Linked DNA regions of Oreochromis niloticus. The protein of the gene in region 1 purifies or fractionates together with the protein of each later gene. This does not show direct contact. Links are inferred from orthologs where the notes say so. Each region holds a gene or a part of one and is shown in the gene's direction. Other genes may lie near its edges.

Region 1 (15,863 bases):
AAGTTAGACTGCACACCATGGGAAAGATTCATATATACTGCGCAAAAAACTAAGGGAACAAAAATAAGACATCCTCCATCTGAATGAATGAAATGTTCTTATTCAATACTAAATACTTAAATACTATGTTCTTTACATAGTTGAATGTGCTGACAACAAAATCACACAAAAATTGTCAATGAAAATCAAGTTTAGCAACCCATGGAGGTCTGGATTAGGAGTAACGCTCAAAATTAAAGTAGAAAAACACAATACAGGCTGGTCCAACTTTGATGTAATGTCCTTAAAGCAAGTTAAAATGAGGCTAAGTAGTGTGTGTGTGTGGCCTCCACATGCCTGTATGACCTCCCTACAACACCTGGACATGCTCCTGATAAGGTGGCGGATGGTCTCCTGAGGGATCTCCTCTCAGACCTGGATTAAAGCATCCACCAAATCCACCACAGTCTGTGGTGCAACGTGGTGGATGGAGCGAGACATGATGTCCCAGAGTGCTAAACCACTACAGATGCAATATATTTTGTCCACTGAATCATACGTTAATTATGTTTGCTTTTTTGCCGCTTTCATTGATGGCAGAGAATTCTACGTTGAAAACAGTGAAACAGCGACACTATCCCATAGTGGACATTATTGTGGCCAGGATCGGTACTGCAACATAAAGGCTGTCAGGCACCTTCCTCGTTAGTATAGTGGTGAGTATCCCCGCCTGTCACGCGGGAGACCGGGGTTCGATTCCCCGACGGGGAGGCAACAGCTTTTCCTTTTTTTTTTCGATCATGTAAACAATACACAGGTACATTTAGCAAAGAAAAGAAGAGAGAAAAAAAATACTACACAAAATCTGTTCGCTTAAAATAGCGAATAATGAAGTGATGTCCCGTTTAATATCTGTTTTGCCTTGTTTAGGATTGCAATGCTTCTTGATACTTTGGAAAGAATATATCTTAGGTGAGCTCTCCAGTTAAGTTTTTCATCTATTATTACCCCTAGAAATGTATTTTCACTGACTCTTTCAATATCAACACCATTTATTTATTTAACCTACTATTTACAAATAACACAATTTTAGTTTTATTCAAATTTAATGATTTTGTTTTTAATCAAGCCAGAACTTCTCTTTTCTTACTTCATTAATCATATCATCCAATAAATGCTGCAGATCATCAACAGAGCAGAAGATGTTTGTATCGTCAGCAAAGAATACCATTTTTAATACTTTGGACACTTTACAAATGTCATTAATGTATAAGCTGTAGAATTTTGGGCCCAAAACTGACCGTTGTGGTACACCACAAGCAATGTCCATACATAAGGAGCAACCACCACTTAATTTCACAAACTGCTTCCTGTCACTTAAATAACTCAGGACCCAATTTAAAATTACCCCTTTTGACACCATAATGTTCCAGTTTTCTTATTAATGTATCGTGATCTATAGTGTCAAATGCCTTTGTCAAGTCTATGAATAACCCAGCCACATATTGCTTATTGTTTATGGAATTTGTGATGTATTCTATTGAATCTAATAGTGTCAGTGATGTTGATCTGCTTGATCTGAAGCCGTACTGACTCTCTTTTAGTAGTTTATGTTTATCTATAAATGTTTCCAGTCGGTTGTTAAACAGTTCTTCAAGAATTTTTGAGAATTGAGGTAGTAAAGAGACAGGCCTCTAATTTGTGAAATGGTGTTTGTTGCCAGATTTGTATAGAGGTATAACTTGTGCTATTTTCACTTTTGCTATTGTGAGAAACATAGAATGTGGATTTCTGTTTATCAATGTATCCAGTTTTTCCTGTGCTTTCCCAGGATCAGTGATTGTTCTTGTTCCAGCAGTTACAAAGAATTTATTGAGACTGTTTGCCACATCATCCATATTGTATTCTTCATGGTCATTATCAATGAAATACTTGGGATAGTTCTTTTGTCCAGCCCCATGTTTTATAACACTATTCAGTATTTCCCATAATCTTTTAATATTATTTCTATTTATATCTAATTGCTTCTCATAGTATTCCTTTTTACTATATCTAAGTATATTAATTATTTTTATATCTTTTGTGTCTGATTTCAGCATCTTCAGTTCTCTTTCTTAAGAAATCTCTGTATAGAGCATTTTTCTTTACATGCATTTTGCAGACCTTTTGTTATCCATGTTCAGTCCATATATTTATGTTTCCTACTATATTGCTTTATTGAACAGTTGGTATTGTACAATAATGTAAATATTCTAAGGAATTCTTCATACGTGTCTTATTTATCAGGAGTCCACTTACAGTCTTATTTTCAATGTCATTTGTAAAAATGTTGTCTATGAGAGTTCCACAATGTGATGTGATCCTGGTAGGTCTAGTAATTTTAGGGAATAGGTTCATACAGTACATTGTGTTAATAAATTCCTCAGTGGTTTTATGTTTATTTGGATTTAGCAAATCAATATTGAGATCTCCACAAATGAAAAGTTTTTTGTGAGCTATTTCAGTAAATGTTTCTTCTATCCAGTCTTTAAATGTCTCAATACTACTACCTGGAGCTTTAAGTGCTGTCATTGCTGTCAGCTGTTTTCCATTCACTTTCTATGGGAGTGCTAAACCACTACAGATGTAATATATTTTTATCCACTTTAGTCTTCTGGCACTGTTGAGAGTTTACCAATTATATGTAGTGTTGGGGAGTAACAGAATACATGTACTGGCGTTACGTATTTAAAATACAAAATATGAGTAACTGTATTCTGTTACAGTTACCGTTTACAGTTACTTTGTTGAAATAAATTGATTACACGGCAGTCTTTTCCTGTTTCATATGTTAGGCTATGCCCTTCCTATTTTTGGTAATTCCACCCCGGTGGAAACCCAAACAAAACACGCATTAAGAGGCTCTAATGCCTGGGTCTCAATCTCACGGCCCATGTCACCTCTACTTGCAGCCTGCATAATGACATGAATAAATATATTTTTAAAAATTATAATTCAAAAAATTATTCAATATGAAGGCAATAGGCAGAGTGTTACAGGCATAGCCCTAAAGAATGTAGCCTCATGGGCAGTGTAGTCTGTGCTGCAGGGAGAATGGACTGCCATACCTGTTATATGTCTGTGAGTCTGTTTTTTTGCTTTTTTCGTTGACGGTAGAGAACTCTACGTTGAGGTATCTAGTCATTCTAGTCTCTCTGCCCGCTGTTTAGACGTTTGATACACATAAATAAGTCTGTACAACCTAACGTATCAAAACGGTGAAACAGCGACACTATCCCATAGTGGACATTATTGTGGCCAGGATCGGTACTGCAACATAAAGGTCGTCAGGCACCTTCCTCGTTAGTATAGTGGTGAGTATCCCCGCCTGTCACGCGGGAGACCGGGGTTCGATTCCCCGACGGGGAGGCATTACGTTTTCGTTCTTGGAAATGTTAAAAGTTAGACTGCACATGATGGGAAAGCCCCATATACACTGCTCAAAAAAATAACACAAAAATAAGACCAAATCTTCATCTGCCACTCATCTTGTTGTTCCTTCTGCTCGCTTTGTCACTATGGGGCACAGAGCTTTCAGTCGCTCTGTTCCTTGGCTCTGGAACTCACTTCCTTCAGCCTTAACAAATATAGATTCCCTTTCCTTATTTAAGTCACAACTCAAAACCTACTTGTTTAAACTGGCTTACTCATTTTAATACAGATTTTACTTGTTGTCAAATCGTGTTTTTTTTGTCTTGTTTTTTGTTTTTTTAAATTTGTTGTTTGTGGTTGTATTTTCCTGTTTTTTGTATTTTAATTTATTAGAATGTATTTTAATCTACTGTTTTATTGATGTATTTTTCTCTTTGTAAAGTGACCTTGGGTTTTAGAATGGCGCCCTCAAATAAAATAATAAATATCATTATTATTATTATTAAAAGACATCCTAGATCTGAATGAATGATATATTGTTATTAAATACTGTGTTCTCTATATCTTTATATAGTTGAATGTGCTGACAACAAAATCACACAAAAAATAGCAATGGAAATCAATTTCAATTTCAACAACACTATCCCATAATGGACATTATTGTGGCCAGGATCGGTACTGCAACATAAAAGCTGTTGGGCACCTTCCTCGTTAGTATAGTGGTGAGTATCCCCGCCTGTCACGCGGGAGACCGGGGTTCGATTCCCCGACGGGGAGGCATTACGTTTTCAGTATGAATAGTCCTAAAACAGGGGTGTCCAAAATTTTTTCACTGAGGGCCACATACATAAAAATATAGGAGGGGCTGGGCCACTTACTAGAAATTAGGTATATAACCTTAACTGTAGTGTATTAAAGTTAGAAAAATCATTTAAAAGTGGTCAAATGTGTTATATTGTTGAATATAATTAAAGACAAAACAGCTTTGGTAGCTCATTCTCAGAACAGCAGCAGATTTCTTCTTGGACAGAAGATTTACAGCACAGAGAAAAAACAATGAAGGGGAAAATGGGACGGGTAAATTTCAAGCTTGTTATTTAAGTTCTTAGACTTAGCAACACACCTATTAACGTTCATTTGAAACGGTAATCAACATTAAAAGACTGAACTGGACTTAATAACATGAGTCCATATAATTTTAGTGAATTATTCTGGTGAGTATCAGCTGCGCTGGGTATGTAAATCGAGCCATCCAGCCGCGGTGCTCATCGTACGCCACTCGTGCCAAAAATCCGGACAAATGTCACTTGATCAAGGAGCAGATCTGCATCAGATGAGATCAGCTGACTTTGCGTGTGCGTGCGCTGTGCACAGCGGTGTGTACTCTGTGTGTTAACAACAGTGATGGGAATAACAGCGTTACAAGTAACAGCGTTACTAACGGCGTTACTTTTTTCAGTAACGAGCAGAGATGGGCAGTAACGCGTTACTGTAATCTGATTACTTTTTTCAAGTAACGAGTAATGTAAGGGATTACTATTGCAAAAACGGTAATTAGATTACCGTTACTTTCACGTAGGAACGCTGCGTTACTGCGTTACTAAAACCGTGATTTTTTGCAAGAACGTCTCATGACAGTGACGTAAGCGAGTGCGACGTTCGTGACAACAGCTGTCTGCAGATCATAATATATCGAGTGCGGGACAGAGTGTAGCATGCAGCGTTTAAGGCGTGGAAGTACTGACCTTATTTTGAGTTTGATTCCATAAAAAGTGACAAAAACATTAGTGTCCGTTGTGCGTGGGAAGAAAACTTCTTTTTACAGCGAAACACACCCCTAAACTTCCAAGCAAGCACCGAGTGTACTACGACGTAATGTGAAATTCACAGAGAAACTCGCGGATTCTTCCACTGACCGCTGCAGCACACCTGCACCAGGGTAAACCTCCGCCTACCCCAGTCCTGCTTTACAGGTGAAAATAGAGCAACAGGACCGCTAGTCTTTGATTTTATTTATTTTCTGCTGTGTTTTACTTGCATCTATTTGAAAGAGTGAGTGTAAACACAAAAAAATATTTTATTTTATGTGCTGGAATGTGCAGAAAATAGGTTTAAATGTTAAACAAATTTCTTCCAGTCAGAGAATGTTGCATATAATTTAATTTTTGCTTGATGCATAAAGTTAAAAGATTAAAACTAATAAAACAAGTTTTAAAAAGAGACTTTTCCATTTGATTACATTTTGTATGATGGATTATGCAGAAAAAGTAGAATTGGGCTGAAAGATCTATCGCTTTATCACCTATTCAGGTTGTAAATCGTGTTTTTAAAAAGTAACTAACTAAGTAACTAAGTAATTAATTACTTTTGAAAATAAGTAATCAGTAAATTAACGGGATTACTTTTTGGGGGAAGTAATCAGTAATTAGTAACTGATTACTTTTTTCAAGTAACTTGACCAACACTGGTAATGAGTAATCTAACTAATTACTATTCCTATCGTTACAACGGCGTTACAGTTACTAACAAGGAAACGCGGTCCGTTACTATTTTTCAACAAACAGACGGTTGAAGCTGTGTTCAGCTTACCGCATCTTATATCAGTTGCACGGAAGTAGCTGTAAGTAATCTGGACGCTACAGCTTTAAGCAGCTGCGCGCTCCCGCAGACGCTAATCACGATCACTGTCTAGCACAACACCTGGAGCTAAGGAGGCAAAACAATCGCATGAGTGCTGCTGTTTGACTGAGGAAGAATAAAGTAGTCATAAGTCAATCACATGACCACTTAAAGACAAAGCAACAAGGTGACAGTTTTTAAATTGTGTCGATAGGCCACGTAAAACCAGAGTCATGATAAACAATATATACGCGGCGTTTTTCCCTCAATAGTTTCGCCACGTTAGCGCTAGCAAGCACTCTCTGCTTATGAGCAAAAAAACAAAACAAAAAAAAGTTTTAGGAGTGACGGTGAGAGAAAGAGAGAGGGAGAGAGGGAGAGAGCAGGAAAAGAGAGAGAGCGAGTTTTGAGATGTGAGATTTGTGACGTTTAGCGTGTTTGGAGTGTGTAGTTAATGTGTTGTCTTGTGTAGTTAGTGTGTAGTGTTGTGGATAGTTTTGTGTTGTGTGTCAGAACAATGAGGCGACTGCTGTCTCCAGGTAGAAACAGGAGTGATACACCTGCTGCTGTCAGACCTGCAGGTATCAGGCTGTGATGTTCTCCTTTATAGTGGACAGAAATGATTTTTTTGGAGTGGCACAAATAATTTGTGTGGCATCTTATTGAAGAACAGCTGATTGTTCTTTAAATAGTTTGAAATGGTTATTTAAAAAAGGGGTAAAAAGTAAATGGATGCAAATAACTTTGTTGTTTGCAAAACTTGTGCATAGGATTTTAAAATTGACAATTAATATTTGCATTTGAAGTTATGAAATATGATTCATTAAACATGTTTATGGTTGTTACAGTAAAAATAACTTTTTCTACTGTGATTTTATGTTTTTTGTCTGATTTTAGATCAATTCTGGTTATACAGTATGACAAAATGAGAACATAACTGTAAATTCAGGCACGTGAGGTTGCGCTAAAAAGAATGATACCAAACAAGGCAAAGTAAATAGTTGTTAAAGGTAAAATGTGGAGAGAAAATCAAGAGTAGTAAAAAAAATGGCCAATTATACCCTGGACGCCAGGGGGTTAAACGTTCTTTGTTTTTGTTTTTTTAAGTAACGCAATAGTTACTTTTCCAAGTAATTAATTACTTTTAGAATATTGTAACTCAGTTACTAACTCAGTTACTTTTTTGAAGAAGTAACTAGTAACTATAATTGAATTACTATTTCAAAGTAACTTGCCCAACACTGGTTAACAAGAAAAACGCATATAAGAAAGTGGTGCGCAAAAGCAGGATAGTGACAGAATTGATGCGCATTATTGATATTTGAAGCATGTGTACCTGCACATGCATGCTTATTAACACACGGGTACTGTGGAATATATTTTTTACTCACCTAAAGTGCTCGTGCTCTCGTCCACTCCCCGCAAAAAAAAAATTAGCAGCTGTGCGGTGTCTGTGGCATCAGTGCTCGGATCGCATGCGATGGAGTAAAAATCAAAAGCACAGCTTTATCAGACAGTTGCAGTTTAATGTTGGCTGACAGTCTTCAGTGCGTGGCACAACTGTAGTTCTGGACATGCTGACATTGTTGAAGTCCTGCACTTTTTTCGGGCACATTATTTCGGTGACTTTAACGAGGCAGCGTTTTATGAGGTCTCCATCTGAAAAAGGCTTGCCATGTCTTGCGATGAGTTGGGCGACCTCATAGCTGCTATTGGAGCCTTTTCCTGGACAATTTGAGCACGAAAAAAATACTGTTGCTGACCCCGCATGATAGCTAGCATTTGCTTTAATTTCTGCTCTCGCTCAGCACCAGTGTAGGATGCATAGGCCTGATGTTTGGTTTCATAATGACGTCGTACATTATACTCTTTCATAACTGCCACAGTTTCAGTGCAGATCAAACAGACACACGTCCCCTTTAATTCTTTGAAGAAATATTCACTCCCCCCGTGTCTGAAATTTTCTGCATTCACTTTCTACCTTCTGCTTCTTTGGTTCTGCCATGTTTGGTAACTTGGGGTAAATTTCTTCTGTGATTGTCCTTTTTGGTAGAGCAACTGCCTTGATTAACAGTAGCTCCCCCTGGTGTTAAAACTAAGAAGTGCAATACACTCAAGCAAAAGTTGAAGTGCGGGCTATTTTCTATTCTATTTATAAAATTACTTGAGGGCCAATTAAAAATGGACCGCGGGCCAACGCCGGACTTTGGACACCCCTGTCCTAAACCGTTTATTCTGCACTGACCCCTTTCCAGGGCTGACTCTAGGATTTGGTGGTCCTAAACAAGATTTTACATGTAGCCCCAAAACTCTTTACGCACAGCACTTTGAGTGCACAGGTAGAATAGAAAAGTGCTATATAAGAACTAGTCCATTTACCATTTAGATCCACCAAATCATGCACACTGCAAAGACCCCAGTACATACCTCTGCAGATTCAGTTATGTCGGAGAAAGCTGTAGAAGCCTGTGGTGCCTCAGTAAAGTCCTCAGCTATGTTCGGGGAGGGAGTAGATGACTCTGAAGTTTTGGATGATGTCAGCAGTCATGTCAGCTGTGGTAGATGTGCTTGTTGCATCAGAAACTCCAAAATACTCCAGTAATGACCCTGAGAATTTTATACATTAGATTATTATTTTTATACACAGGGTGGATGAAATTAAATAGGCATATTACATGAATTAGGGCTATACTTTATACTTTCGTCATGTTTAACGATTAACTGATACTGTGAATGTAAGCGACAGCGATTTACAGCCCGAAAAGTTACATAAATATAAAATAATTCAGAATCATGTGATCTTTGCTTAAAGTGGTGATTATTAAGTGATTATTAAAGGCGACATGCTGCGTTTTTCCTCGAGTTTGATTGAGGAGAAATCATCCTTTCAGGACGGCCAGGTGAACCACGCCCTGACAGCGGCGATGAGGATGGTGATGAAGGAATATCTGATTCTGGTCACACAGCTGGAACACCGCCAGCAACAGAAGCTCTGGTTCTACATTCAGCCCACGATGCCCATGGTGGAGGAAGTCTCTTTGGTCGTGGATCTCCACTTCTGTGTGAAAGACGTACACACGATACCATGATATCTTAGTGAACTAGAGACCCTAATATTTGATGTACTTCCATTAGTTAAAGAATTAAACTGTTAGTGCGTTTATTAAAATAAATTATGTTTTCTGCTGTTTTCACATCATCATAAACAGTAGGTTGATTTATATTAATTTTTCACTAACAGATACTTAAACTAAGGCTAGTTCCTCTTATTTTATTTTAATTAGGTTTTTTTAGTTCACAAATTCTTTTCAATTAGTTTTAATTCTTTATCAGAAGTTTATCTTTATTTGTATTTTAGTTAACTAAAATTGTTTGGGTTCTTTTTTTTTACATCTAATTTTAGTTTTTTGTTTAGTTTTAGTTAACTATAATAACCTTGGTCAGCATCATAGTAGCTGCAGTTAATCTACAAACTTATACATAAGCAGACATCTACCCGGGTTCAAGTACAGTAACAAAAGCAGTATTGTGATTTTAGAGAAAATGCCTGTTTTATGATTGATAGATTTTTGCGAAATTGATTTTTAAAAGTAGTTATTATATTCCTTTTTGTATTACAATTCGACTTTCAGCCCCAGCATTAAGATATTATTACCTATTAACCTAATCTTATTTGAAATATTATTTTTGTGAGATTTTGAAACTTCTGCATTATCAATGTTGATTTTTTTCTCCTTGACAAACATGAATAAATTGCACAATACATTTCATAAGCAATACTTTGCACAAAAGAGCCAAAATGTTACAACTTTTAACTAATATATGTGAAATTATATTTAATTTATTTTTTTATTTGTCAGAATATTCAATATACACTCCGGTTTAAATAAATAAATAAATACATAATTTTCTGGCTATTTTTGTATGGTCAGGCGTCACAAGGTCACTGACCTGTAGGGGTCAGTGTGGCGCCGTCACTTCGCTGCTGGAGAAGAAGAAGAATTTGATAGTAGTGGGCGCGTTTGCTATCTGCCCCGGTAAACGCTGCAGAAAGGCGAGTGCCAGGTAGAGTGATGACTTCAGACTCTAGTTAAACCTGTAACAGGGCTTCATGTTACTGAGTTACGTTGTTATTTGCTTTTATGGCATTTCATGTTTCACTTGGCTCAGAGAGCTACTAGATAGCATCCCCCTGCTGTAGCAGGCTAACTAGCCAGCTAGCGTAAACAACTGTTAGCTCTGCATCACCACTGAAAGACAGGATGTCATAAACATACAGCCGTTAAACCCTCAACTAAGCTTCATCTGATGTTTGTCAGTGTGAGCCGGCAGCTCTGATGTTCATATCCATTGTGACCGCCTGAGCGAAATTCTTTCTCTTTATTTCTGCCCTCTCCTACAAAGTAAAACCTCTTTGTCGTTATGGCAGCTGCGGGAGCCATGAGCGAGTTCAGGATCCACCACGACGTGAACGAACTGCTCAGCCTACTTCATGTGCGAGGCGGCGACGGAGCAGAGGGCTACATAGACCTGCTCCAGAAACACAGGACCCCCTATGTCACCACCACAGTGTCCGCGCACAGTGCCAAGGTGGGCTATACTGTACTACACTGTGCTTCACTGCAGTGCTTTTCATGGCTCATCAGTTGATAATTTAGTTTTTAATTAGCATCTGTCCTCTTATCAGACACGCAGTCACACTACAGCAGACAAAGGCTCTCTCAGAAGGAGTGTTTTTCTGCACTTGGCACCATAGTAATGTTTGTTAACTCCTCCCAGAGACATTAATCTCGCAGTTAACTTTAGCAAAATCCCAAATGCATCATTATGACCGGCTGTCCTTCCAGATTGCACATGTACTAATGAGTACAGGGAGTTTGGTGAGGAGGCAGAAGGAGTACTTTAAGATTCTTATGAATGAAGAAAATGAGGAGAGAGGATGATGGGATAGATGGGGGACAGGTAGGAAATCAGGAAGTGCAGAGGATTAGTAAGGAGTAAGTGAAGGCGACAATGGATGGATCAAGAGTGAAAAGGCTCTTGGTTCAGATGACATACCTGACATACCAATGACAGAGTATTGAAGTTAATCTTGTAGAGTGAAAGGATGCCTGGGGAATGGAACGTATGGCTTCACACCAAGAAAGAGCAGTACAGATGGGATGCTTGTTTTGAGAATGTTGATGGAGAAGTGTAGAGAAGTTCAGAAAGAACTGAACTGTGTGTTTTTGTAGATCTAGAGAAAGTATATGATAAGGTACTAAGACAGGATTTGTGGTAATGCATGAGGAAGTCAGGATTAGTTGAGAAGTCTGTCAGGGATGTAATCCCACCCCCACCTTGAGCCCCTTTTCTTGTTTGCAGTGGCGATCACTTCCCTAACGCTAAAGTTTTATAACTTACTCTTAGTTAAACACCCAATGTTCGCAACAGATATGTTTCTTTGAATATTTTATTCATATTGCATGTTGTGTCACTTTCAGGTCAAGTTAGCAGAGTTTTCTAAAACCCCGGAGGATTTCTTGAGGAAATATGAGGAGCTTAAGTCCAAAAATGTTCGGAACCTCGACCCTTTGGTGTATCTGCTCTCCAAACTCTGTGAGGACAAAGAGGTAATGCCTCATTTACATGCTGCTTTTCATCTGGTTCTTTTTGTCATAGAGTCCAAATATTTCTATACTTCCTGGTCTAAAATCACAATTATTTCCTTATTATTAATGTTGAAAAGTAGTTTAAAAAATGTAATCTACTCCAGACACTGTACACAGCAAAAGTAAGAAATTTGCTGATTTATGTCCCTCCATCAGAGAGTTGGTTGATAAAATACTTGAATCTAATTTTGCATCCCTGTCTTGATATTGTTTTGCAGACCCTCCAGTTTCTGCAGCAGAATGCTAAAGAGAGGTCGGAGTCTTCAGCAAACACCACCTCAACCACGACAACCAGTTACTCTCTGCCTCAAACCAGCACCAAGATGTCCATGCAGGAGCTGGACGAGCTGCGTAAGAAGCTTGGCAATGTAACAGCGAGCTCCAACGCTCCTCTGGTGAGCATCTCTTACTCAGATGTTACTGATCTGAAGGTTAGATTAGCCTGTGAAACTCTACAGGACAGGTTGGAGCTAAAATAAGTTCAGCTAGAAACTTAATTAAGATAGGATGTATTTATTGGTCGATTTTATATATGGAAACAGATTCAGATAGTTTTTGTTCTTTTGGCTCTGTGTGATGTCAAAGAGAGCGCAAAGTTCCAACCACCTGCTGGTCAAATAATTTTTGAGGGGCAGTCACTCAGAGGAAAGTGGGTTTGAAGATGGGGGAGCTAAAACAGTTTGGTTCAAACAGTTAATGAGCTGGGAAGCTGCACAAAGGCCCAGTATAAGATAAAGAAGGCTTATTTTGGACTGTGAGTCATACAAGGCTGCTCTCTGGAGTACTACAATTAAGATGAGTTGGAGGTTCACAGAGATGGTCCTTTTTAAGTTTCAGAATATTTGTTCATAGAGCTATTCAGGTTTCTTTTTCTTAAAGTAGATCAGATCAGAGATGATGAATCTCAGGCTAATAAAGGGGATAAAAAGGATTAAAAAAGCTCTCATTCACATTAGATTCTCATTGTATTTCACATAGGAGTGATTAGACATGCAGATGATTTGTTTTTGGCCACTTGGGCTCAGCAGAAAGATCCTAACATCCTTTTTTCTGAATAAAAAGCTGCCTTGATCAATAGTTTAATCTAAAGGTTAGAAGGGTCAGTCTATTTCTATTGATAAATATTAAATTAAATTTCACTCGGTTTACCATCTGCTGCTTTTAAATCCTGAGTTTCTTTGTTTTTGGAATTCGCCTGCAGCCGGCTGAAGTCACACGGAAGATGCTGAGGGACAAACACAACAAGAAGAACCCCACCCAGCCCAACCCCGTCTTCCCCAATTGGGTGTATGATCGTCCAGCTCTCATCGGAGACTTCATCACCAGCCCCACCCCTCAAGGAGAACCAGCTGTGCCCGTTGGTAAGTTGGTAAATTTACACATTCACAAGTGCAGCATGGAGTCTAAATATAGTCCCCCTGTGCGTATTGATGTGGTTGCTGTCCGTGGTCAGGTACGCTGCCTCTGGGGACGCAGGAACAAGCTCTGGTGGAGGATCTGCTGTTTGTGCTGATTGGAGTCGACGGGCGAGACATCACCGCTCAGCCGGTGCTGGGGCGGCAGAACCGCTCCTTCATCGTTGATCCAACACTGGACATGTCTGTCAAAGAGCTTGTCAACAGAATATTACCGGTCGCTTCATACTACTCCACTATAACACGGTAAGAGCGTAGACTGTGCCCGGTATGAGCTACTGCTAACAAGCTTAAGTTCACAAATGCACATAATCACTAATGAGTTTTCCAGATGAACTACTAGGACCCTCAAGGTTGATGCAATGCAAAAGAAAAACCCAACAGCATCTCTTGTAACTAAAATGTTTACTTCACATCAGCTTTGAGTTTTTAGAATAACCTTGAATCGAAGCTTCAGTTCAGTGACTGCAGTTAACAAAGGTTAGTGACTCAGCTGTCACTCAAAAAAGCCACACACCTGACTTTAAGCTTTATTAAACTATAAATGGATGTACAAAGAAAAGAGAAGAAAATCATACTGTAGAGGTTTTAGGTTATTACATGAGGAAATTTGCTTTAGAGATCAGTTTTTGTAGCTGTAAAGTTGGAAATTTTAAAAGTCTTTTTTCAGCCCTCCAGGTTTCTGCATGGGTAAAAGAGGCAAATATCAGAGTACCTCCAGTCCTGAATATCTGTTCACAAAACAGTTTTTAAATTTTTTAAATTAAATTTTCTAACTTTAATTTCCAAATGTCTTAAAATGTGCTGCATGTGTTTTTTTGCATTATCTTTGAAAGGTTTATTTATATATATTATTTAGACATCTGATTCTATGTATGATATGTGCGCCTTAAATACAAAGTATATATTTTAACTGGTCTCTTGAGTCCTTTTATCTATTTTCTGTTGCTCTTTTGCATTAATGTCATGTTTAATGATTGATATCAATGGGAGTCACAGTGATTTAGAGCTTGAAAAAAGTGACATAAATATCAAATAATTCAGAATCATATGATCTTTGCTTAAAGGGTCTAAAAGAGATTATGTGTTATAAGATTATTAAAGGTGATGTGTTGCATTTGCCCTCCAGGTTCATTGAGGAGAAATCATCCTTCGAGTACGGCCAGGTAAACCACGCCCTGACGGCGGCGATGAGGACGCTGATGAAGGAATATCTGATTCTGGTCACTCAGCTGGAGCATCTCCAGCGGCAGGGCCTGCTGTCCCTGCAGAAGCTCTGGTTCTACATCCAGCCCACCATGCGCACCATGGAGATACTGTCATCAATCGGTAAGAAACTGAAGATGATGCATGGTTGTTGTTTGCAGCCATGATGAATTAAAAGTTGGCAAAGAAACATTGAAAGAAGGATGAGTTAGGGGCGCCGTGATCAGTAAAAGATTTGCTGGTGTTCTGGCACCATCCTGGTGCAAAAGGAGAACAAGTTGCAAACCAGAGGGTGGAGAAAGTCTCTTGAGAATAGAGTGCTACTTCTCCTTTGCCAGGGTGGACTTGATTTAGTGCAATGTATAACTTAAAGTTGGATGTTTATAGATTTGGGGATCTCTGCTTCTGCATACCAGCAGTTTATTGAATTACAAGCCCTAAAATTTCATCTGCTTCTAAACGGTCTTCAGATGTTGTTTAAAATAAGCATAAAAATGTTTAAACATATGTTTCACAAAGCAGATATTAAGAAAAGATGTTGATCTGTTGTAGAGATATAGAGCTGAATTTGCAGATTAGTGGTGAGGAGGAGTTCTGAATGTTTTCAATTTGTAAAAGTTAGTTTGTGGGTCACAGGTCGTAGAAGACCTGCAGTCTAAGCTTCTTTAAATGAGCACCAGAGAGTTCATTTGACTGGAAGGCGATCTGACCCACTTTATAAGAGAATGCAGCACATCAAACCGGGTCTAGATTCACCAACGCACCAACACAAACAACACTGAACACTTTGAAAATGCCTGATTAGTGTGGAATCTCACCTATTATAAAACAGATATTTAGTTAAATTATGCTTTCTGTTGTGTTCACAGCGTCCTCCGTGGACAAAGGAGAGTGTATGGGAGGGTCAACGTTGAGCCTTCTCCATGACAGAACCTTCAATTACACCGGTGACAGCCAGGCTCAGGAGCTGTGTCTGTACCTCACCAAAGCAGCCAGCGTCCCGTACTTTGAGATCCTGGAGAAGTGGATCTACAGGGGCATCATCAAGGATCCGTACAGGTTCAGCTGCTCCCAGAGTTTTAACTCTGAATAATGTGTGTTGTAAAATTTTAAGCTCATATTTTGTGTCTCCACAGTGAGTTCATGGTGGAGGAGCACGAGCTGCAGAAGGAGAAGATTCAGGAAGACTACAATGACAAGTACTGGGATCAGAGATACACCATTGTGCAGCATCGGATTCCCTCCTTTCTACAGAAGATGGCAGACAAAATACTAAGCACAGGTAAAAACAGAACATTTAAGACTTGTTGAACATAAAATGGGAATCCTTTAGGCGATGTTGAGATGTGCTATCGTGCAGGGAAATATCTCAATGTGGTGCGGGAGTGTGGCCGGGACGTGACGTGTCCTGATGCTAAGGAGGTGCTGTACACCCTGAAGGAGAGGGCCTACGTGGAGCAGATAGAGAAAGCTTACAATTACGCCAGCAAAGTGCTTCTGGACTTCCTCATGGAAGAGAAGGAGCTGGTCTCACGTCTGAGGTGAGTATTTAATGGTTATTGGATATTTTGTGGTGAGAGGA
Region 2 (15,158 bases), on another chromosome or scaffold:
AAAAGGCTTCTGCTGATACACAATAGAAAAGCAGGTGAGCCAGGCTGATATTAACAATATTTTCACAGAATACACAGGTGTTCCTGTCCAAATTAAATTTCTTTGGGAGGAAGTGGAAGGGAAATATACTTTCTCTGTATCACCTTAACCTCTTCGATCACAATTTTTGTCACAAAAGTCAGCGAATGCGATGCAGAGTTTTCTCAGGTCAGAACAAATATTAGTGTGTTGATCTCAAAGGGACTGGGCTGGCTTTTGTCAGTATTTTATAACCTTTAGTAGTGCAATTGGAACTTGTCACAGAACATGCCATAATACATCACCTTTTTTATCCATGAAATCCGGCCCAAATCCCTGCAGACCTCCATTCTTCCGTTCCATGTGCACAGATGTGTTTTTTACCAAGTCGAATGTAGCTCCTGCTCCCTGTCCTTCTGCATTTTTGGTCTATTTTTATTGGTCACAGAAATATGTGTCACACCGAATGTACATAATACCGTGCTGCTTTCAAAGTTTGATTGTGCGATTGCTCTCCGGTCTTCATGCTTGCACTGCACTGTGTTGTGTTTTGCTCAACACTGCAGGAAACTGTGTGATGCAAGCTTATTATGGGCCTTTCACTTAGAAATGGCTCTAATAGTAGAAACAAATGTGCAAATTTCTTCTTATTTGTATTTCATTTAAATCATCTGAATATGTTTGATTTTTAACAGTGTGTTTAATTTTGTATCTCACAGAGGATAGACATGGTTCCTGAACTGCTCAGCTCCAATCTTTGTTCTCTGCGGTCCAATGTGGACAGGTAATGACACAAACACACGCAGCCTTTTCCCGTTAAATGAATAAAACGAATGTACTTAGATTGTTTGGTTCTTTTATTTGCTTTCACCAGACTCGCCTTTTCGTGTATCTGGGAAATAAACCACAAGGCTGAAATTCTAAAGACTCGATTCACAAAAAGTGTTATTAACTCCAAGGTATCGTGCCAACACACATGCACAGTTAGCATTTTGTTTTTTAAATTTATACCTTTTTTTTTAATGTTAGCATTTTGTGTTAGATTTTATGCAATAATTTTTTTTCTGTATAAGGTTTATTATTACTATTATTGATGATTTTCTTTGTTTTGGTCCAGGCGTCTTTGACCTATGCTGAGGCCCAGATGAGGATTGATGACACCAACAAGAATGATGATATAACAAAAAGCCTACGGGGTCTGAACAAACTGGCCAAAATCCTGAAGAGGCAGAGGATAGAGAAAGGGTAAAGACCAAAGTGAAAGAATAGTAAAAAAACAGAGGCAAAAAGCTGGATATTTAGACTTGCTGTAATTCACATGAATCTAATTTTGATATCATTTAGGGCACTGACACTGTCCTCTTTAGAGGTCCGTTTTCACATGGACAGTGAAACCCATGACCCCATTGATCTTCAGACCAAAGAACTCATGTAGGTAACTTTGAAAAGGAGCACTCTGCAGAATCCATTTCTCTGCAGAAGCTTCTTTTTGTCTTCATATTTTTCAGTGTATGAGTCATGCTGTGTTTTTGATGAGTGTAAATAAAACCATCTCCTGTTCATTAGGGAGACAAACTCAATGGTTGAAGAGTTCATGTTGCTGGCCAATATTTCAGTTGCTCAGAAGATTTACGATGAATTCCCAGAGTGCGCTCTGCTGAGGAAACACCCAGCACCACCTCCGTCTAACTATGACATCCTAATCAAAGCTGCAAAGTCTAAGGTGAGTAAAGGCAAACAGTCATGTGAATTCTTGCTATGAAAGAAGGACATTGTGTCAGTAAAGCAGCTTTAATTCAAGATCCTGACTAAGAGCATTTTTAATTTTAAATAGTTTTGTAGGTTTCTCTCATACTGGAAAGCAACTGCATAAGTCCCTGCTTCTAGTTGGGAATCACAGCAGTACATTAAGTACAAAAACTGGTAAATATGGTTAAGTTTTTAATAGAAAAATATTTTAAGGTGTCAACATTTTTGTTTCCAACTCCCATCAGGAGGTCGAGGTCCACACAGATTCAGCAAAGGCACTGGCTGACTCGCTTGATGCAGCCAAAGTGGATGGATTCCCATACTTTAACACGCTGCTGCGCATCCTGGCCACTCGCTGCATGATGCAAGCTGTCTATTTTTGTTCTGGCATGGACAGCGATTTCCATCATTATGGTCTCGCCTCGCCCATTTATACGCACTTCACGTCCCCTATCAGGAGGTATGAAAACAGATGTTCTACACATCTTGGCAAAATATGTGTACGTCAGGCTTTTCTAACAAAGAGATGTTCAGAATTGATTATGGATCAGTTGTTTCTATACTCTTTTGTCATCCAGTTGAATTCTTTTTGTACTTTGTGCTCAGGTACGCTGATATCATTGTGCACCGCCTGCTGGCAGTGGCTATAGGTGCAGACACCACCTACCCAGATTTAATGGACAAGCATAAACAGTCAGCTCTCTGCAATAACCTCAACTACAGACACAAAATGTCTCAGTATGCACAGCGGGCTTCTGTGGCCTTCCACACACAGGTAAACACACATCAACATGTGAACTGTGTGAACTGGTTGTCTTTGTCTTATATTAAAACCCTTTTTTTTTCTGCAGTTGTTCTTCAAGAGCCGAGGAATCCTTAATGAAGAAGGATTCATTCTGTTTGTGAGGAAGAATGCAATCATCGTGCTCATCCCAAAGTTTGGCTTGGAGGGAACGGTGTTCTTTGACTCAAAAGACAAGGTTTCCCCAAACATAGTGTTTGAGGAAGAGGTATGAACACCTTTTTTTGGTAAATTTAAAAGCAATCAGCTTTGTATAGAAAGTCAGTAGGGTTTAACATGTTTTTTTTGCACGTGTGTAGGGTCCCACTCTGTCTGTAGAACAGCACAAGTTCCACATATTCGACAAGGTGAAGGTCACCATTAGCCTAGATGACTCCAATATTCAGCACCAGAAGATCCGCATGGCTCTGATTGAACCAGTGGTAAGAAAGACCAAAACTGAACTTTTAACAGTTAAAAGTATTCAGATTTGATTGAAGACTATTAAGATACAGATTTCAGTCAACCCTGATAAGAAAATGTGCTCATTTTTTGCCTAGAAATAAAAGTTTGTTTTATTTTAGATCCCTGGTGTGAGTGTCCCAGCCCCAGATACCGAAACACCAGCCAAGAAACAAAAACTGGACCGCTGACACAGGAAGGAGCTCTCAGTTTTCACCTAAACCACATGATGTTCCCGTTTGGACTATTTGATGTATTGATAAAGTTCAGTTGTTTTGTTTTGCTAAAAAAAAAAAAAAAAAAAAAAAAAAACTTTTTTAATGAGTAAAATTTTGCTCTTTTATATGATTTAAAACATTTGTTGGAAGAGTAAGCTGTCTTACATACTAAAGGCAGCGCAGTCATTAAAATGATTTTTTTAAAATTGTTTCTGATGTACAAAACTTCTCAGAATTATTTTCAAACATGATTTGAATTGAGTCATAAGCCAAAATATTGGAAGATTTCACCATTTATTTGTTTATTTATTTAAATATTAGAAGTTTACAGCTTTGTTTTACTTTTATTCCTTGGGTTGATTTAAATTATTAGCAAATAAACACCCTGTGCAGAGGTCCATAAAACAACGTATCCTGAAGCCAGTCAAAAAAAACAAACCTGAACGTAACTTAATGTGACAATAATCCAGAAACTGAATTTAACTATTAGAAACAGAGCGAAGAAATGGCTCAGTCAGCTTTTAATTCATTAGTGGCATTATTCAGCGCATCAGACTGTGATATAAAACAACTCCGTATCAAAACATGATAAAAAAAAGTTTTATAAAAATCATAAATACAGCTCAGATCTGATGTTGCCTGAAAGTCAAGATATATCCAACACCAAATTAAAAGAAAACAAAACTCCCAAAAAACAACAGAAATTGTGCTAGGATCAATACAGCTTTCAGGAAGGTTATTGTTGTGCAAGTTGAATGCAGACTTGATAGTTTGATGCTGGTTTCAAAAGTACAACTGTCTGTGGATTAGACTTCCCTTTGATAACCTGTGATTAAAGAAACTCTGCTTCCAGTCAGGTAACTTGTGAAACCCCATGGTTGTATTCATACCTCATTTAACAGTTAACACAATTCAGTCTAACTGAACATATTTACCATAAATGCTTTAGACATAGTGTAAACCTTGTTGTATTTGATTGCAAAATATTAAGCACATGCTTTCACTAGAAGAAGAATCCCTTTCAATCCATCTATCACTTGGCTCAGTGGTGAGGAAAAAACACCTGAAAGAGAAGAAACTTAGTTTTAATCAAAAGAAGAAGAAAGTAAGGATATACAATGTACACACTAGAGCACACTTCAGGGTTTTCTGTTACACTAACATGGTCGTTGTTTAAAGTGTCTAATCTTAGGTTTTTCTCAGTGAAGAGTTGCTTAAATTTTACTAAATGAATGAAAGAAGTAATTTTTTTTTTTTTTTTTTTTTTTTTTTTTTTTTTTAAAACAAAACTTAATGCTGATAATAACAGTTTTAGGAACAATTAGATCTAAAGGCACAAACTCATGTATCCACATTCTTGTGATTGTGTGTAAAGTCAGTACCTTTACTTTAGTGTGTCGAGTGACTTGGAAGGCATCTTCTGCCATGTTTGAACTGAAGAACTCTTTGCTGTCAAAGTCTTTGTTGGTGCCATCAATAAGACTGACTGCTGAGGTAGTGTTATAACCGCTGTCCACCTGAACACGTGCAAAAAGCCAGTCAATCAGAAATATTCTGTTACCCAAAACATCAATATGAAATTATCCTTCCCGGGGTTAAGCTGTTTTTACAAACCTGCATGCTAGAATCGTAGCGTATGCTGCTTCCTTCTGCCAGGAGAGACACAAACATGTGAGAGTTTTCTATTGCTGATGCATTAACCATGCGAGAGCTGGTCAGCTGCTCGGAAGGCCCCACACCTTCATCCTCCTCATACTCGAGCCTCGGTTCAATTTCTGTCTCTTTGCCTTCCTCCATTTTCACAGGTTCCATTGGGTCCATGCTAACTCTCTCAGTGTTGGTGGGGTGAGAGTCTTGTGTCAGGGGTGATGATGACGAATCTAATTCCATAGAGGGGAAAGAAGAGCGAGTGGCAGAGGGGAGGTGTTCTTCAGCCACCTCATTGTCTGGGAGCTTAGGGTTGAGGATCGGTGAGATGAGGGGAGGGGAAGCCCAGCAGCGGCCTCTAGGTCTGGGCCTGGGTCGAGAAATGCGCTGGGGTTCATTGTGGCAATGGAGCTGGTGTGGGGAGCAGCTACGAATGGGAGAGCAACCCTCAACAAATGGACTCTCACTGCAGGAAGCGACCATGTCCAGGGGGGCACCACGTGGGGTCAAACAGCTCGGCTGGTTCCTCTCAGCTAAAGAAAGAACACAGTAACAATTACTTGCCTTTTTACCAACATTTTGTCTTCTCAGTCACATATTCTTTGTTGGATCATAACATTCCTGAAGCACATCCCCATTCAGAAGATAACGAAGACACATCTGCCTCAATTACCAGTCCTTAATTCAATGTAAAGACCAAATTATATAGGTGTTCTTCTTGCTCCAATGCAACTTATTCTGCATTTTATCATAATATCACCAACTAAATACATGGAGGCATCACCACCATACTCAAAGGATCATGTATTATAGAGGAAGATTTAAAACTACTAGCTGGATGAAAACTGTTGTCATGATAAAAAAAAAAAAAAAAAAATTATATATTTATTTATTAAATACAAAACCATGTCAGTGTGGATGTAGCCTTAGCCAATATTTCTCCAATTTTGATTTGTTTGGATATTAAAATTTTAGTTACAAAGTGTAACTAGTGTTTTAGTTACAACTGTGTACCTGAGCCAACAGGTGTGCGTGCTGCATGTGCAACAATAGGAGAAATTGTGGGGGAGATGAGGCCAGCAGGAGAGGACCTATCACGGAAGAGAGGACTGTCGATGCTGCCAAGGCTACAATCCCGGAAGCGTCCGTGCTGGATGGGACTCGAAGAGAACTGACCCTAAAATAGCAATAGCAATTTTATTTATGTAGCACATTTCATTACGTGTAAACTGCTTAACAAAGAAGATAAAAACCTGTGTAGGTTTACAATCCTTTAAGGCAGCAAAAACACAAAAACAAATCAACAGCAACTATTTAGTGTAAGCCTGGGTGAAGGCTTAACAGTGTAAATGTTCATTTTCCTGTTATTAAAATATTCGTTGAGCAAAATATGATCTCCAGATGCATTTTTTTCTTTTGAATTTTATGCTTAAAATTAAATTGTTTGGGTAACGGTTGTGTATATGAAATCCCTACACTCCTCTACTTACCGTAGAAGGCGTCGGAGCTGACACACCACAGGCCGAAGGGGAGGAAAAGATAGCCGATACAGCTTCTCCCTCAGAACCTTCAACGCAGTCTCCTCTCTTGAGAGATGGCTTTTCCTGACCGGCATTGCCTCTCTCTGGACTTGGAGGGCTCGAGCTGTCTGAGCCACTATAACTATTTTGGCCATCAAGGAATAGTTTTCGTCGCAAGGAGGAGCTGCTAAGACTCTCCTGCACTGGATCACACACTTCTTCATAACGGTAATATTCCCCTGTGAGAAAAAAAAAAAAAACAGAAACAGTGACTTGACAGCAGATTGTTCGATTTTCTTTTTCTCACTATGATCCTGTTGGTGTTTAGTCAAGGTTTACCTAGAACTTTCTCCAAATCAAAAGCCAAAGGCAATGTAAGGGTTGTCTGACATCCAACTGTAGATCAAAACACACAAAGTTATATATATATATAAAAAGTAGGTAAAAGGGGGAAAAAAAGTCAAAACAGGTAAAAAAAAAAAAAAAAAAAAGTAACCAACCTGAAATTTTTTCTGGCTCCTCTGCAATCATTGCAGACATTGAACCTACAACATTAAAAATAAAAGCATTTACAAAACCAGAGTTCAACAGAAATCTATGGATAAAAACAAAATAAATACAAATACAAAACCTATAAGAATTAAGAAGTAACATAAAAGATAAGATAACTTACTACTCTTAGAAATCTGAGGGACTTTACGGGTCTCTGGTGCCGCCCAGGGGGAAGGGACAATTATTCCTTTGGTGAAAAACTTTATTGGAGACAGGATAATGACATCAGTACAAAGGGAATCTATAAATTTTGGGTACACTAAATTCTGTATCATTAGTAAAGGATGAGATTTGGTTACCTGCTCAATAGCATTCTGACGTTTTTCCTCAATGTCCGAATCCGTCCTAAAAGAAAGACCACTCACGTTTGATAGAGTCTTTAATAAGCTCCCCAGGTTTAATACATAGAGGAGGTATTAAAATCACAAAATAAAACAATACATTTCTTCCTCAAAGAATTTCACATTTGTCACAGTGTCAGCCTTATTACATCACTTACCTTGTCTGACTGAGGTAAAAAGATTGTCGCTGAATTTCCTCTGGGTCTATGTGCACTGGTAGGAGACTGGCCATTTCATCAATAGACCAGTTAAACTTAGGTGGAGTCTGGGTAAATTAAACAAGTCTAGAATTATTAAGAGACTACATCAAATCATGAGTAAACGAGTTGAGTAGATGATATGAAGTAAATTTAAAACTTACAGCTTTACAAGGTAGGGACTTGAATACAGATGGACTTGGCACCAGCGGTTCGCGAAGATGGTGATAGTCGTTTGGACTTTCAAAGGGGTTTCTAATGGAGGGCCTGCCTGGAGTCTCTGGAGTGATCTGGATCTCAGCATGGTCCCCCATTTTAGCTGACAAGAAATATCAAAGTCGGGATGACGATAAATGACAATCCAATCACAAAAAGACACTAAAATTATTTCGTGATAAGGCGATTTTTTGTATTATTTTGTTCTACTCTGGTACGTTGGCTACATTACTCCCTCTGTTTCTATAGCGTTAAAAAAAAACCTTCGAAGGAAGCAGCTTTTAAAATGAGGATTTAGCTTCACACATTTCACTTCACCCCTAACTTATTTATACATTTACGCAAGAACTAGATAACGTTTGTCTTACAACTGTTGGTACTTACAATTGTGAATGAGCCGGAACTCTAACAGCAATATTCATTGGAAAGCCAGCAGCAAACAATCAGCAGAGAGACCAGTTCAAACGTTTTTTAATTTCGCCCACAAGGTAGGCTAGCCAATAGAATCGTCGCAGGAAGTTCGCGTAACCAATGAAGAATTTCGTGTCGTCACTTCCTTCAGCACACTTTCGCGAGTAGCGGCAATGAGCGCTGTCAGCTAGCTAGGATCTTATATTGACCTTTACGTGATTGTGCTAGCCTGGTTTTTGCTGATTCAATCTAAATGTATAAGAAACGCCTGAAATCTGGCTGATTTTTTGCGTTGTGTCTCTAAGTCTTAATTTGTCAGCCACTTGCTAGCAAGCGTTGGCTAGCTATAGTCATCCATCACTATGGCCAGTGCAGCAAACGCAAACCTAAACGCAGTACGGGAGACGATGGACGGTAAATATGTAATTACTGCGTGTAGTATTTTGTGTATTTGTATAATAGTTGTAAATTCATCTTAAAATATATATAGTACGTTTTAGCATGTGTGTCATAGCTGTGTCTGTTTTTACCTCCTCCCCCAACAGTGTTGCTGGAGATCTCCAGGTTGCTCAACACTGGCTTGGATATGGAGTCTCTATCCATATGCGTGAGACTGTGTGAGCAGGGCATCAACCCAGAAGCTCTTTCTGCAGTCATCAAAGAACTGCGGAAAGCTTCCGAGTCCCTTAAGGTACAGACACAGCCTCCCTAAAAGCTAATCAGCTCACATTGTACATACATGTAGATACTTTACTGAGCCAACAAGGAAATTATTGTTAAAGCGGCAGAAGGATAAAAATGATATAATCTACAGCATTATTAAAGGTACCACAGGCTTATACTTGATTTCTTATTAGGAAAGGTCTGGATCCAGTCTGGATCCTTTCTGTATGACGTTTTGCATAGTCTCCAGGTACTCACCGTCCCCCCCACAGTCCAAAGACATGCATGGGGTTAGGTTAATTTTGGTTCCAATTTAAACACAGGTCTGTCTGTGTTAGTTTTGCATTCTTTATGAATGCAACTGGCATTAAAAAGAACATGTACACTATAAATCTGAGAAATCACAGGAAGAAGGTTTGATACAGAAATATCTCTGCCATCTAATCTTGTTTCACCTTTTTTCACCAGTTATATAAAGGAGACTTGTAGAGTTTTATAGAGAACAGTAGGAATGCTTTCCTTTATGGCAGCAAAGTCAGCCCTCTGTAGTTTGGAATGGAGTGAGTTAGATGGGTTGTCCATAATGGTAAGCAGTTTATTCAGTGACCTCCTGTCCCTCACTGACTTAAGTGACTCCAGATTCCAGCCAATGATGGTTCCAAACTTGTGGATTAGTTTGTTGATCCTGCTGGCATCTCTGGCACTGATGCTGCCTCCCACTGCTAACTGAATCTGAGCTTAATTAGAAAGTCCGGTCTGCTCTTACCCTTCTTGTACATAGCATCACTATTTATCCTCCAGACCAGTCTTTCATTCAAGTGAACACTCAAGTACCTGTCCACTGTTTTACCATCCTTACCTATGACATTAATGGGCTTCGGCACATTTTTTTAAAAATTTCCTCTAAAAGTCAAACATCATCTCTTTTTCACATTGAGGAAGAGGTGATTTCTGCCAGACCATTTGTTTGAAATATGTTAAATATGCTTGAAACTATGTGTTTAGAAAAATACTTTACATTTAAGTTTTTTTTGTGTAACTTGAACAATTTTCACATTTTTTTTTTAATATCTTTAAGATGGGATATGCATGAAACTGTTAAATGCACATCTAACCCTACTTCAGTGAATAAACAAGTGGTATGTCCCACAGTGGCGGTCACTTGTCTGTGGAATCGGTCCAAGTAGTTAAATTCTTTGGAATTGTTAGCCTGCCTGCCTATCAGATTCGCTTATCAGTTCTCATGGCACTGGAGGAGGAAAATAGTGACACAGTCTACAGCATGGATATAAACAATACTTTAGTTTTAAAAGCCAGTACGATGGTAAATTGCAAACTGCCCAGGACAAAAACAACTGAATTTTGCTGCTAACCTAACTACGGATCTTTACAAGCACCTGCACAGACGACATGCTAACGCTAATCTAGCCAAGAACCCAGAGTGATGTTAAAGCTGAGTGAATGCTGACCCCACCCCAGCATACTTTGTGTTCATACATAAATACTAAAGAAAAATACTAGAGTAAAGATCATATGTGTGTCCTCATTAGGATAGGGATTTGTGTTTGTGTGTGGGACTGTAGCCTATAGGTTTATACTGTTATATAATATGATATAAAATTCTATAATTATGAGACAATGAGTTTCAGGTAATTTTATGGAGAAAACTTTCTCCTGGGAGTAATTAAGCAACATAATCCATTACATTTAAGAAAAGTGTTCTGTGTAATCCCTCAAATATGTAATACCTGTTCTAGTTATCATCACACCACCCAACCGAGTCTTTCCGGACTTATTCAGATGTTTAATTGATGTCAATACAAAAGCGAACACCAGCAATGGCAGTGTGACAGGCTGTGTGTGTGTGAAGTATAGATAACATCTGAAATTTAAGAATGTTTATAAAGATGCAGCCGGGTGTAGGGTGACAGAACCTCTTTTTGCATACCAGTTTTACTGAGATATGCCGACACAAAGTAAGCAAAACACCTGATTTTAAAGCATTATGGGCATATTATTAGATTTGCACAGATATAAGAATCAGTATAACCAAATCTTGAACACAGATTTCCAACCAAGATTATTTTACTCATTGAAAGAGGCTTAACATGTCGTCCAGAAAATAAACTGTGGTCATTTAATGCATATCAGGATATGAAGTACCAGATTCACAGAAGGGGTTTTTATATATATAAAGTTCTCTCCTAACCTGCTGCTATTGGCCCCTTTCAGATATGCTCTGCTGCATCTATAATCTGTTGGCTTCCTGTCTAAAAGACCACCACAGTCAACTTGCAAAAAAAGTAATTACTATAAGTGAGCCTTTGTAACATTTTTTTATTCAAATCTTTCAACAGAAGTCTTACTGCATGCAGTTGCCTTAACAAATAGAAAATGCCATAAACAGTCATAGCACATGCAAAAAGCATTTTGTCCCTTTCACTCATTTCTAATTTTCGGCGTTTCTTGTGTATGTTGCATTTTCTCTATTCCCCAATTCCAAAGAGAGATCTCTTTATCTCTCAAGCTGTGTATGAAAGGATACATACAGCTTTCTTAGAATTACCATCCAGTACTCAAAATCTCTCTCTCTCTCTCTCTCTCTCTCTCTCTCTCTCTCTCTCTCTCTCTCTCTCTCTCTCACACACACACACACACACACACACACACACACACACACACACACACACACACACACACACACACACACACACACACACACACAGATCTTGCTTGGAGAACAAAAAAAAAAAAAAGGATGAAGAGCAAATGTGGTCAGTGCTCAAGCCCACAAGCAAACAAATCTTTGGTATTGATGATAAATATTCTACACGTGTCCTTCAGTGTCATGAGACTACTGTGAGTATGAAGCTGGGAGGAACATTGATCTAAAAGCGACCTACTGTACACTTACTGGCCACTTTATTAGGTACAACTGCTCAAGTCCTCAATACAGCAAACATCTTAACCCATCACATGTGAGCATCTTGATGTATTTAGGCAGACATATAGAGATAGTCAAAACAACCTGCTGAACCTGAAACCAATTATCAGAAAGGTGATTTAGTTGGCTTTGAGGACAGGATAGTTGTTGGTGCCAGACAGGCTGGTCTGAGTGTTTTAGAAACTGCTGATCTACTGGGATTTTCCTGCCATGAATCTCCAGACTGCTTTGAGCTGATAGGAAGGCAACAGCAACTAAAAAGAACCACTTGTTGCAACAAATGTATGTAGAAGAGCATCTTTGAACATACAATGTGCTGAACATTGAAGCAGATTGCCCACAGCAGCAGAAGACCACACTGGGTGGCATTATTGTCAGCTAAGAATAGGAAACTGAGGCTATGGTTTGCAAAGGCCCTGCCTTTTATCAAGAATTCAGGACACTGGTGGTGGTGTAATCGGGTTGGATGTTTTCTTGGCACTCTTTGGGCACCTTAGTGGAAACTGGACAGTATTGTTGATGAGCTTATCCATCCCTTAATGACCAAAGTGTATTATCTTCATTTAACAGCTCAAATAATCCAAAACTGGTTGTTTCACTGTATTCAGATGGCGCCCAGATTTACCAGATCCCAATCCAGTAGAGCATCATGGGTGTGCAGCTGACAAATCCACAGCAACTGTGTGATGCTGTGGTGTTAGTATGGACTGAAATCTCTATCTGTGCCATGAAGTTATTGCAGTGCTGAAGGCAAAAGGTGGTCCATCCCGGTTCTAGCAAGGTGTGAGTGTATGTCAGAACGACAGACAGTACAGACTGAGAGGTTTAGTTCTGGTTGGTCTGTTAATTTTGTTGATTTCGCTTACAGTTTTCTGTTTGTGCTAAATTAAAAAAAACAAAAAACAAAAACTCTTTGGTTCTCATCGCAGAGACTGAAAAACCACATTAAAGGTCATGTGTGATATTAATTTTGAGGTAGCCTTTGTGTTTTCCTCGTCTTTTCCCAACCATTCATTTTTTGTTTGGCAAAGATATCATATGCTTTTTACTGGTAAAAAAATGAGTCATGATGATGACTAACTAGCTTTTTATTTATTTTCTCTTTCAGGCTTCCGAGAACTGTACAAACTGAAGATAAAAACAGATCACTTAAGTTTTTGGACCTTTTAATGGGATCGTGCCTCCTACCTGCAAGTGTACATACATGGGATCGCCAGCCAATCAGATTTGTCTCCGTTTTGGCACTGTGTGTCTAATTGGTGACTAATGTGCTTCTCTTTTGTGTTTTTAATGTAGTCTTCTCCTGAAATGAGTTCGTACCATTCTGTCTCAAATATAGACATACTCCATGTTTTTCCTGTTACTTCAGGCTATAATTGACTTTCTGCCTTAATTTGAGTACAGACTCGATTTCTGATCATTAATTTGTTTTTGTTTTTTAATATCTGTAATATATGGTGAATTGTTTTAGTTTTGCATTTCTGTTTTTTCTCAACTTTTGCCATTTTTGTTTTACATGTGGCAGATGAAGTGTAAATTAAAGTGTTACAGTGAGCGGCCACCAGGTGGTGTTGTCTTTCTTATTACAGTCAGAAGTCTTTATCGCTGTTGGGAAGCTTGCACAGTTGTAATTTATTCCACCAAGTTTTTCCTACTGAATCACCATTTCTGTGATTTAATCAGGTACTTTTTAAAATCAATTTTTCATATTTTATTTCTTTATTTTTGTCTTATGTTGAGCCAGTTTTCCAAATCCACCCTGGTGAATTCATAGTTACACCCCTTCACCTTTTATTGGGAGGTTATCTTTGTGCAGGATTTTACAAAGGAAATTATTTTTCCTGTCAGACTGGGTGAAAAGGAAAAGATACTGGTGGAACATTGCACAGTGTAATACAAAAACAGACCATGCAGGACGCACTTCAAAAACGAAGACTTGAACAAGGGTCATTCTTTACAGCAGGATGCACTGTTGCTCTGAAATCTTTCCTCCTTTACGTCTGTGCTCTATTCTCAAAAATCATTGGAGAATACTGCAAACTTGCTCCTTCCCCCCCAAAAAAGAAAACACATCTTTGATCAACAAGGAATAGAGCTCCTAAATCACGTACAAGCACACAGCATTGTTTTGTTTTTGTCCTGTCTTTAAAATAGATCTATTCATCTTCGAGACAAGAGAAAATGCTGAGAGCAGGGAACATTCCTCCACAGGCCATATATAGGCTAGAGGAGACCTCTTATTCACACAGGCTTTTATCAGTAGCTTGTCTGTCCCCTTATGTGTGAGAGCTTAGGTGTTCATGCAGTGCTGTAGATGTCTACAAATGAGTAGCCCCTGAGCCATCTGACAGTAACACCTCACCCCTCACAGGCACGCCACAGAGAAAGCCAGCGATTGAGCAGGAGAGCATGTGTGTGTAAGCATTTCTGTCTTCTTCTGCTTTGTCTCGCCATCTTGACTGACAGGCTCCGAGTCTAAATCTCTGTACTGCTGCTTTGATCTCCTAACACAGTATCTCTCTGTTCTTCTTTACCAACACCGTGTTTAACCAAGAACGAGAGACATACAGACTCGATACGGTGGCTCTGCTTGATAGTCCGTAAGCCAAAACAACCCCAGGTCTCGGTGGGGGGTGAGCTGCAGGAGATGCTGATGAAGGAAGACCAAAACCTGGAATCTTTTTCTTTTACAAAAGAAAATAGTTATGCATGGCTTGATTGGCTACTATGGGCGTGGGATTCGGGATGTATTGCCCTCTGTTTGATGTGTTTGAAGGTTTCTCCTCATCCTAGCAGCTACTTTGATCTCTGTTAAACAAAATATTCCCAAATCCCACAGTCCTAACAGAGATTAGCGTCCATATATGCATGAACATCTAAGAGGTGTTCAACTAGGGCACTGGTCAGGTCACATGACTGTATCAACTTAAGAGGCGAGCGGGTCCTCACGTCAAAACTTCTAAAGGTGTTTATATTTGTATGTCTGATAATTATCCAGGGCGAGGATTATTTTTTTCTGATAAATGAGGCCAGTCTCATTTAAAAGTGAAAGATCTATGTGCAGCAATTACAGTTCAGGTGTGTGCAGTGGATATTAGGAAAATAATTAGACTGGACTGATTAGAAGGTCCCTAAGTAAAGGGAGAGATGGTCTGTTGATGTTTTTCCAAACCTGAATTACAACAATATTGGCGTATGAAAACAACTACAGTGGGGAGACTAATTTGAAGCAGAGTTTAAACAAAAGTCAAAAATCTCTGTGTGTTCAGGTCACTAATTACCTTCAGCAATAAATAGGCTGGGGTGAGGCTTTCCCTACAGAGACGTGGCTTTGTTTGTCCATTAAGGCTAGAATTTTTGGTTTAAAAGAAAACATGAAATATTCTGTCTATGTCTAACAAATGTTTTACCACCACTAAGATACTTGCATCTGCACAAC

What was found.
Region 2: the proteins of tubgcp2 (region 1) and mzt1 purify together in Homo sapiens (affinity purification with mass spectrometry; 4 studies listed by BioGRID and IntAct, counting the BioPlex papers as one, with this or other methods). This does not show direct contact. The link is inferred for Oreochromis niloticus from reciprocal best matches to the Homo sapiens genes TUBGCP2 and MZT1.

What each region holds. Positions count from the first base shown.
Region 1 is NC_031973.2:4,929,733-4,945,595, reverse strand, and holds the start of tubgcp2 (gamma-tubulin complex component 2), read left to right. Parts: upstream 1-9,921; 5' UTR 9,922-10,074; intron 10,075-10,438; 5' UTR 10,439-10,449; coding exon 10,450-10,599; intron 10,600-11,492; coding exon 11,493-11,621; intron 11,622-11,878; coding exon 11,879-12,055; intron 12,056-12,861; coding exon 12,862-13,021; intron 13,022-13,113; coding exon 13,114-13,321; intron 13,322-14,204; coding exon 14,205-14,404; intron 14,405-15,150; coding exon 15,151-15,340; intron 15,341-15,417; coding exon 15,418-15,563; intron 15,564-15,641; coding exon 15,642-15,822; intron 15,823-15,863. UniProt on the Homo sapiens protein: Component of the gamma-tubulin ring complex (gTuRC) which mediates microtubule nucleation.
Region 2 is NC_031978.2:13,421,785-13,436,942, reverse strand, and holds mzt1 (mitotic-spindle organizing protein 1), read left to right. Parts: upstream 1-8,250; 5' UTR 8,251-8,474; coding exon 8,475-8,526; intron 8,527-8,657; coding exon 8,658-8,803; intron 8,804-12,827; coding exon 12,828-12,851; 3' UTR 12,852-13,280; downstream 13,281-15,158. Other genes in the region: dis3 (exosome complex exonuclease RRP44), read left to right, coding at 738-802, 893-977, 1,136-1,263, 1,363-1,449, 1,585-1,741, 2,013-2,227, 2,374-2,542, 2,619-2,777 and 2 more; bora (protein aurora borealis), read right to left, coding at 4,271-4,291, 4,611-4,745, 4,843-5,408, 5,890-6,052, 6,366-6,634, 6,735-6,791, 6,896-6,940, 7,069-7,147 and 3 more. UniProt on the Homo sapiens protein: Required for the recruitment and the assembly of the gamma-tubulin ring complex (gTuRC) at the centrosome.